Schizosaccharomyces pombe: one gene and its partner. The protein of the gene in region 1 purifies or fractionates together with the protein of each later gene. This does not show direct contact. Each region holds a gene or a part of one and is shown in the gene's direction. Other genes may lie near its edges.

Evidence for each region.
Region 2: the proteins of wat1 (region 1) and tco89 purify together in Schizosaccharomyces pombe (affinity purification with mass spectrometry, with the first as the bait; one study listed by BioGRID). This does not show direct contact.

Annotation. Positions count from the first base shown.
Region 1 is NC_003423.3:1,661,171-1,665,006, forward strand, and holds wat1 (TORC1/2 complex WD repeat protein Wat1/Lst8), read left to right. Parts: upstream 1-1,770; 5' UTR 1,771-1,776; coding exon 1,777-2,721; 3' UTR 2,722-3,190; downstream 3,191-3,836. Other genes in the region: myosin-binding vezatin family protein Inp2, read left to right, coding at 1-1,219; vacuolar transporter chaperone (VTC) complex, GTPase regulator subunit Nrf1, read left to right, coding at 3,412-3,780. UniProt on the Schizosaccharomyces pombe protein: component of both TORC1 and TORC2, which regulate multiple cellular processes to control cell growth in response to environmental signals. Nutrient limitation and environmental stress signals cause inactivation of TORC1.
Region 2 is NC_003421.2:1,552,094-1,556,691, reverse strand, and holds tco89 (TORC1 subunit Tco89), read left to right. Parts: upstream 1-2,194; 5' UTR 2,195-2,496; coding exon 2,497-3,244; exon of another isoform or gene 3,245-3,303; coding exon 3,304-3,911; 3' UTR 3,912-4,098; downstream 4,099-4,598. Other genes in the region: urk1 (uridine kinase/uracil phosphoribosyltransferase), read right to left, coding at 1-247; zinc finger C3HC-type containing RNA export factor Rsm1, read right to left, coding at 4,108-4,598. UniProt on the Schizosaccharomyces pombe protein: Component of TORC1, which regulates multiple cellular processes to control cell growth in response to environmental signals. Tor2 is essential for growth. Nutrient limitation and environmental stress signals cause inactivation of TORC1.

The DNA of each region.
Region 1 (3,836 bases):
CAGCATTCAGTACATTATTTATACATCTGAACTCCTCGTAGGAGATCACGAGCTACAGCGGTCACATCATGAAGAACAGCCTTCTTTGGTTTATCCTTCTTCATCGTTCAGTTCTACGAGCAAGTTTTGGAGATACTTCGCCTATCTGCTGAGCTTACAAATTGTAATAGATTTTGTTTTATACAAATTATCATCTGCAATGGCAAGTCTTCATTATCTAAAGTTTGTGAAGATAATAGCCTTATCTTATATTTGCTTCTCTTCGCTCATACGGATTTGTCATTGCTGGACATATTTTATTCGTATTATGGGATTATCCAGCTTAAATAAGTTTGTCAATCTATTGCATGATTTTGAAACTACATCTAATCGTGTTTACTCCCAAATTTGTGAATTGGAAGCAAATTCGGCAGCAAATCGCTCCCGGTTAATGGACTTCCTTCCTGCCAATGATCCTTTATTGTTTAATCTTACGGAACAAAATACTTTAAGTTACGAACTGTCTGGTTTGTATGAGAAGCTTTTACCTAGATACCAGCTGGTTCTGTCAAGAATATATCCGTATGCAGCTGCTTCCAACCTTAGAAACCTATTATCACTATATAGACTTCCAAATTGCTTTGGTAAATTAAATTCGTTTGACCTCCGAAAAGGTTCCTCAACAAGCTTAAAACGGAGTTCCATGTACCTAGCCCGTAAAGAAAACCAAGACTTTGATGACCAATCCACCCAAATTCTCAATCACATCAAAACTGCTTATTATGAATTAACTATAATCTCTAAGCAAGTTCTATGTTGCATACTATCGTTTCCGGTTGATTCATTTTTAGCTGAAAGGTCTTCATGGCTCATTGTTCACCGGGAGGTAGGTGACCTCTCTAATGCATTGTCTGTGTCGATGGTTCGTCTCGTTGACATCTTAAAGTTTTCAGTTGAATCGGTCAACCGTAATCAACATAACACTACTAGCAAACCTTTCCCCAGGATCATGTGCAAAGAAAATTTGCGCAGTCTTTTTAACGAGTTGCACTCTGTAATGATGGAAACTCATGAGTCTATCAGCTCATATATTCAAGAAGGAGACAATACAGCTATGCAGACATATGCTATGGATGAATATGATCAAGTTGGTTTACTGCTCAAAGATTTGCTCTCTGAATGGGACTTTAATAGAGCACTACTTCTCAACTTGCAACACATGCACCGAAAGCGTAAATAATTTTGGCTTTCAGAATTTTAAACCATATTTTGCTTTTATGATCTTTTTTATCCATTATTGTCCGTTTCTGTTATACGTCTTTCGGAACCTTGTTGGTTTTAATAGTTAGGATAGTTATTATAAACTATTTACAAATCGACATTTATCTAGGTTTAAATGTCGTTCAACTCAGCAATGATGTCTTTGTTGCTTAAAAATTTGCCTTAACCTTTCGTCCTGTATAATATTTTAGTTATACCAGTTTATCTTTACACTTATGCTTATGCTACTTATTGCAGGCGCAATTTTTTAAAAAATTAAATTAACATGAATTTACTATTATTCTATGAATTTTCCTGTTTTTATGGTCAAAACTGTTAAATTTTTTAAAGTTTTGATGGCTGTAGATTTAAAGTATAGATCGCCAATCGTGCGTTTACAAGTCATGCTACAAAAAATTTACTAAATATATAATATAAACATATTTAATTGATTTTAAAAATTTTCAGTCATTAATTCTCTCTGTATTCGAGTTTGTTTAATAACTACAGTATAACAGCGCTCCATTCTTTAACCACATGTCAGTACAGTATCCACCACAACATTCTGTTCTGCTCGTCAGCAGTGGATATGACCATACCATTAGATTTTGGGAAGCCCTAAGTGGAATATGCTCGAGAACAATACAACATGCGGACTCTCAGGTAAATCGTTTATGTATTTCACCTGATAAGAAGTTTCTAGCAGCCGCCGGAAATCCTCATGTAAGATTGTACGACATAAACACTAGTAGTCAAATGCCATTAATGACCTTTGAAGGGCACACCAATAATGTTACAGCCATCGCTTTTCATTGTGATGGTAAATGGCTTGCCACATCGAGCGAGGATGGAACAGTAAAGGTGTGGGATATGAGAGCCCCTTCAGTTCAGCGAAACTATGATCATAAATCTCCTGTTAATGACTTGTTAATTCATCCAAATCAAGGTGAACTGCTTTCATGCGACCAAAGTGGACGAGTTCGTGCATGGGATTTAGGAGAGAATTCTTGTACACACGAACTTATTCCGGAAGAAGATGTACCTATGAGCAGCATTACTGTTGGATCTGATGGTAGTATGCTTATTGCTGGGAACAACAAAGGAAACTGCTACGTTTGGCGAATGCTAAATCATCAGGGTGCTTCATTGCTTCAGCCCGTTGTCAAATTTCAAGCTCATCAGCGTTATATCACTCGCTGCGTCTTGTCTCCTGATGTCAAACACCTTGCTACATGTTCTGCCGATGCTACAGTGAATATATGGAGTACGGAGGATATGTCATTTATGCTTGAGAGACGACTTCAAGGGCATCAAAGATGGGTTTGGGATTGTGCGTTTTCTGCTGATTCTACCTACTTAGTAACCGCATCTTCTGATCATGTTGCAAGGCTTTGGGAGTTATCGAGTGGTGAAACAATCCGTCAGTATTCGGGTCATCACAAAGCTGCTGTTTGTGTTGCTCTTAATGACTACCAAATTTAAGTGTTTCAAAGCATTTTTCAAAATAAGTTTACGAGTTATGTTTTGTTGTATTTTTAGCTCAACTGATGTTGGAAAATTACTTCTATATATTCAAGTTTATTACACGCCTTTATCCTATTTTACCTTTGCTATATAGATTTTATTCACCAATCTTCTTAGGAAAACAAGAGTCTTGTCTTGTCAACATTCGTTTATATTAAGTGTGTCTGATTTCAAGACGATTTCTTAGTCACTTACAAATTTTTTATAAATTATATTCTTCCCTTGATACAGTATTTGCTAGTTTCATATCTCGGAGTTTTTATGATAAATAATAGTCTTAAGTGATGATAACTTTTGAAAATTTTCAATGCTTATTAGTGTAGTTTAACTTATTTTACAACTTTTATCTCTAAACATGATAGGATTAAGTAGGAAAAGTTACATATCCTCGTGTCCTTAAATGAAATGAAATGTATATCTTCATTAGCTTTCTGGTTAGCGAAGAAGCGAATTTGATAATGCAAAATTTGAAGAATTTAGTCTCGCTAAATCTGCTAATTAACTTACCGAGACTTACCGTAGTAAGATACGAAAAAAATTTCTAGGCCGTTCGACACAGCTGACCTTAACCACAACTCACAGCCAGCACATACTTAATCTCGCGAGGAGAAAAAACCTTCGATTTATAGCTCACTCTTTCCACTAACAATGTCTACTCAACCTCTTTTACAAACTACTCCTGGTAAAAGAATTGCTCTTCCTGTTCGTGTTGAACCTAAAGTTTTTTTCGCTAATGAACGTACTTTCCTTTCTTGGTTGAGCTTTGCAGTAGTTTTGGGTGGTTTGTCAGTTGGTTTACTTAACTTTGGTGATCGAATTGGTAAGATTAGTGCAGGACTTTTCACTATTGTTGCTATTGGTACCATGGGTTATGCTCTTGGTATTTACCACTGGAGAGCATCTGCTATTCGACGACGCGGAAGTGGTCCTTACGATGATCGATTGGGACCTACCATTCTCTGCTTTGTTTTGTTGGCAGCTATTATAACCAACTTTGTTCTTCGTATGTTATTTTGAAAGGATTAAGTCCATTTTTTGGAGATTTTTTCGCGATATTTCAGCCTTATCGTCTG
Region 2 (4,598 bases), on another chromosome or scaffold:
TGGCTTCGGGGGAATCAAAGTCATAGTCGTTGTTAAATGCTCTCTTCTTCTGCTCTGCATTCAAAGATTTGTAAAACGAGTCAAGGGATAAAATAACAACATGTGGAAGATTTAACGCCTTTACAATCAATTGGGCCACCGAGGTTTTCCCACTACCCGATGGTCCTGCAATTCCAATAAATCGCACTTTACGCCATGGGGGTTCATAAGTTGGGTTGCTTGAATAACGCTCAAAAGCTTCAGGCATAATAACGAAAGAAATAAAATAAATAAGAAGCCCAAAAAAAAGGTATGCTAGCCTCCAAGGAAATATTACTAAAGAAAGTTTAAAAAAAAAAAAACTGTAGAGCAAAAAAAGACTAATTGGTGAACCTAACGTTTTTTAAAAGGTAAATTCTGTCTTGGCGTGAAACGAAAATATTCCACAATTTGTAGAGCCAAAGATATTTATTCAAACAGAATTAATTCAAGTAGAATGATAATGGTTTCCTTATCTTACTCTTCTCAAACTTGCTTAGTTTTTTCTATAAATCACAAATCTCGAGTTAGCAATACCATTAGAAAAATATATATATGTATACGAACCCAAAGGAAGGAAAAATGTTAGGAAATTTTAACATAAATAGAAAGATTTTCGAAATGTCTTTTTAAATAACTAGTAAACTAGTTGAAACAATAAATTGGAGAAGGGTAAATCCAATATCATTGTTTTTTCATCCTTTGGTAACATTATCACTGTGACTTTTTCAGTCAGCGCCTGAGCCGCGGTAATCATCGGGAATAAAGAAAGAGCAGTTTGTTTGTAGAACGGAAGTGAGAAGTTTTTTTGCAATACCTATTACTAAATTAATGAATTATATGTAGATTTAAAAGAAATCCGGCAATTAATATTCGAAATTAATCAATTTTGACTATGTGAAAATTGTAACATTCGTGACATGTTGGAAGCTTGTACCAAAATTTGATATTTAATTTAACTTTAAAAATGTATTTAATAAAAATAGGCGACAATAAGGAAATTTAACATATTGGCTCAAATTCAAAAACGCAAGAGAAATCTTGCTTTGTTTATATAAATAACTAAATCAACACGACTAATACTTAATACGCATTTCTTAGAAAAACAGATTCAAATTATTTTTTACCTTCCAAAAATGATGAAATAAAAAGAACAGCTAGGTTGAGATCGTCTCAAAGTTCAATAAATGATTTTGCCGCTCGAAGATTTAGATTGTAGCTTTGCCATTTTTTTTAAACCTAAGAGAACTGACAAAAAGGAATATGAAAGTTTCTTTTGTGCAGAAGAACCAAGTAAATGGACATAAGTTTATGGCAGGTTTTATGATATTGAGAACTCGTCGCTTTTGTTCGTAATAGGCAATTAATTTCAAATTAGAAAATAGTATAAAGGATATTCAGTTTGACCCATCAAGTAGAGTAATCCGCTATTAATGGTGTGAAAAAGTAGAAAAATTTGAAAAAAGCGTACATTTTCGAATAGAAACCCATTTACATGCTTACTTAGCACACGCAAAATCCTTAAATTTCTCTTCCCTATATCGAGAGAAGTGAAAATATAGAATAGTGAATGCATCAAACGCAAAGATTTGAAGCCGGTGCAATGTTAAACATATTTGACGGCTAATCGTCACAAAAAAATGACATTGATGACCTCGAATTGCGCAAATTTTGACTTCATATTTAAAACTCGAAACTCATGAATATTAAGCCTAGATAATTTGTTCGCATAATTTCTTCTCAATCCCACAAATTAATTATCCATGTATCGATAGCAATGGAATCAATTGATTTATTAAATTAAAGTAGATATCTTCCCCTCCTCATTTGATTAGAAAAAAATCCTTGAATTTCACATCACATTTACTCGAAAAGTTTTATCATAAACTTGCTGTAGAATTGAAACTGTAACTGCAATTTAAACCAAATAAAACGCTTTTTAAAATAAACAAAAGAGTACCACATGACTAAATTCCTCATCTTCCTTTTACCAACGTTTGTTGTAATATATTACCCATGCCTTTAGTAATGATAAATTGCACTTATTGAGCTAGAAAATAGTGAATTGAAATAAATCTAATATTTTAACAAACGATATCACGCTATAGCCGTTTTATAATATTTGCCATCTTTTGTTCGTTTCACATTGACACACCTCCATCCTCTCTTTCCTTTCACCTATCTTGGCGAACGAATTCTTAACCTGCTAATTTATTCACTTCAGGAGTAGGAATTGACAAGTGAGAAAAATTAATAATTAAATATTTTTTTTAATATCGTTCTTTTACATTATTGATCCATTGTTTTTGTTAGTCATAATTGGGAATTGACTAGCTTTTTATTGGATTCCTCTTCATGTTCATATTTTACTCAATTAATCATTTCAAAGGTTAATTTACAAGCGTTTTGCTTGTATTCGTTTCTTCTTCATTTTCTTTCTAAACAGTTCCCCAAAGAACCCTCATTTAGACGTTTAGTATGGAACGTCCATCCCTGTCGAGAAGAACGTCCTCTTCTACAGTAAGTACAGATGGTGAAGGGGTTTACTCAAGATCTACTAAGGAGCGTAAGCGGAATTTTATTGTAAACAGTAGGCTTAAGCGTGGTGGAGGTCATGTGCGAGTCAACCGTTCAGGTAGATTGGGCAGTGTAACTATGAGACCTTCTGCTTTAACTCGAGCGCATTCTCAAAATCCAAATAGTAGTTTGGTAAACAATTCGTCCGCCGTGTCCCATCTTACTAAACAACGATCTCTCAACGACTTGCATGAACTCAATGGTCCTAAACACGTAGCCAAAAATGGATTAATACCACTAACACAAAGAAAACCAAATTGTGTTTGGGACGATGCTCCAGTTGACAATGATTCTACTGCTGGTAATTTGGATTCGGACAGTGCGCTTCCTACGCCTTCTGTCACTACGAACGAAGCGGCTGATTCTTCAAGAGCCAGCTCTCCTGTCACCAGAGTTGTTGCTGTTCATGATAACAAAAAGAAAATCATTAATTCGAATATTTCAAATGCTCCTCCCTTTAATAATACAGATGTTCAAGCTTCTGCTCGTCCACCCGCTGCCGGTCAAGACGATTCAGCTGCTGATGCTAGTACCACAAAATCGAGCCCAGTACATAATGAAGTTATGGCAGAACCTTTACCTCATTCGAATAATCGCGAAGTCACTCAGGCTACAAATCAGCCAAAATGGCAAATTCATTCGGGCTCGGGTAAGTCTTTAATCGATGTTTCATCAATTCATATTACTCATATATTAACTTACTTTTAGATATTGCTAGTGAACCCCCTACACTCTCTAGAGGAAATTCTTTATCGTTACTTGCAAATCGAAAAGTTCCTTCCACAAATGTAAAAAAGTCGCAGGCTGAACTTTACGACCTTGGCTCTTCCACAAGTAGAACCCAGCAAAAGCTGTTGATTCAACGTGCATCTTCTAAATTTGACATAGTAGAAGATGATATGGATACAAACCCTTCTAAACGGTTTTCGAACCCTCATACAAAGCATATTATGGACTTAGTCCGTACACAATATCGGAATGTTTTGCGTACGCGTGAGTTGATCCCTGAATTCTTAGAGAAAATAAGGTCCTCCTATAGTAACAATCAGAATTTCGACTCTCAAAATGCCTTCAATACTTCTGCGGCAGGTACCGCTGGAACTAGGGAGGAGACAATTAGTAACGGACAAAACGGCATCGTCGCTTCTGCCGAGACTTCGAAGAAAGATGATGGGGTACAATCAGCTTCTCTTAATGCATCCATGAGTGCACGTAGTCATGCTAGACAGCGCTCAATACATGTGCCAAAAACCAGAAAAGACACTGATTATGAATCGATACATCAGAAATTGCTACAATTATGGTCTCAAGGGTAAAATAATTGTACTATAATTTTAATCTCAATCTCTCGCCCTTAGATTCCTATATTAGTATTTTGTCAAAGAAAAACTGTCCCTCAATTATTGTGTTTAAATATTTACTTTTTTTGTTATTTTGATTTCGAATAGTTTTTTGAAAATAAATTATTTGCGTAGCAGTCATTGCTAAAGTCCTAAATACCTGTATGTCCATCTACCGAAGTCCTTGGAGCAAACTAAATGTGTAATCTGTATACTGTGAAACATCCATAGTTTTTGTTGTACTTTGGAATATGGATTCTTTGCACAGAAGTTCAAAAATTTGTTGCCAACCAAGTAAGTCAGTAAAGGGTTGAGGGATTACCCATGGACAGCTTTTTTTATGTTCTTCCAATACGTCGAAATCTTGTCCTTCACTTTGTAAATTCCAAACACCCAAACGTCTGTGACAGTAGTTACACACATACAAACGACCAGGAACTTGCTCACTCCATCCAGTCAATGCGATGCCAAGCAAAACAGCAGCGTCCTCTTTCTCCCAATCAACACGAATTTTATTTGCAACCTTTTCAAGACGTTTTAAGGTCATCTCTTCAGGAAGATGCGTAGATACCAAGCGAGTGGACAGACTGTTAAACCGTCGTCCGACCTGAACCAGTTCGGCAGATACTGATAAATGATAAATGTCTGGAGGAAATTTATGTA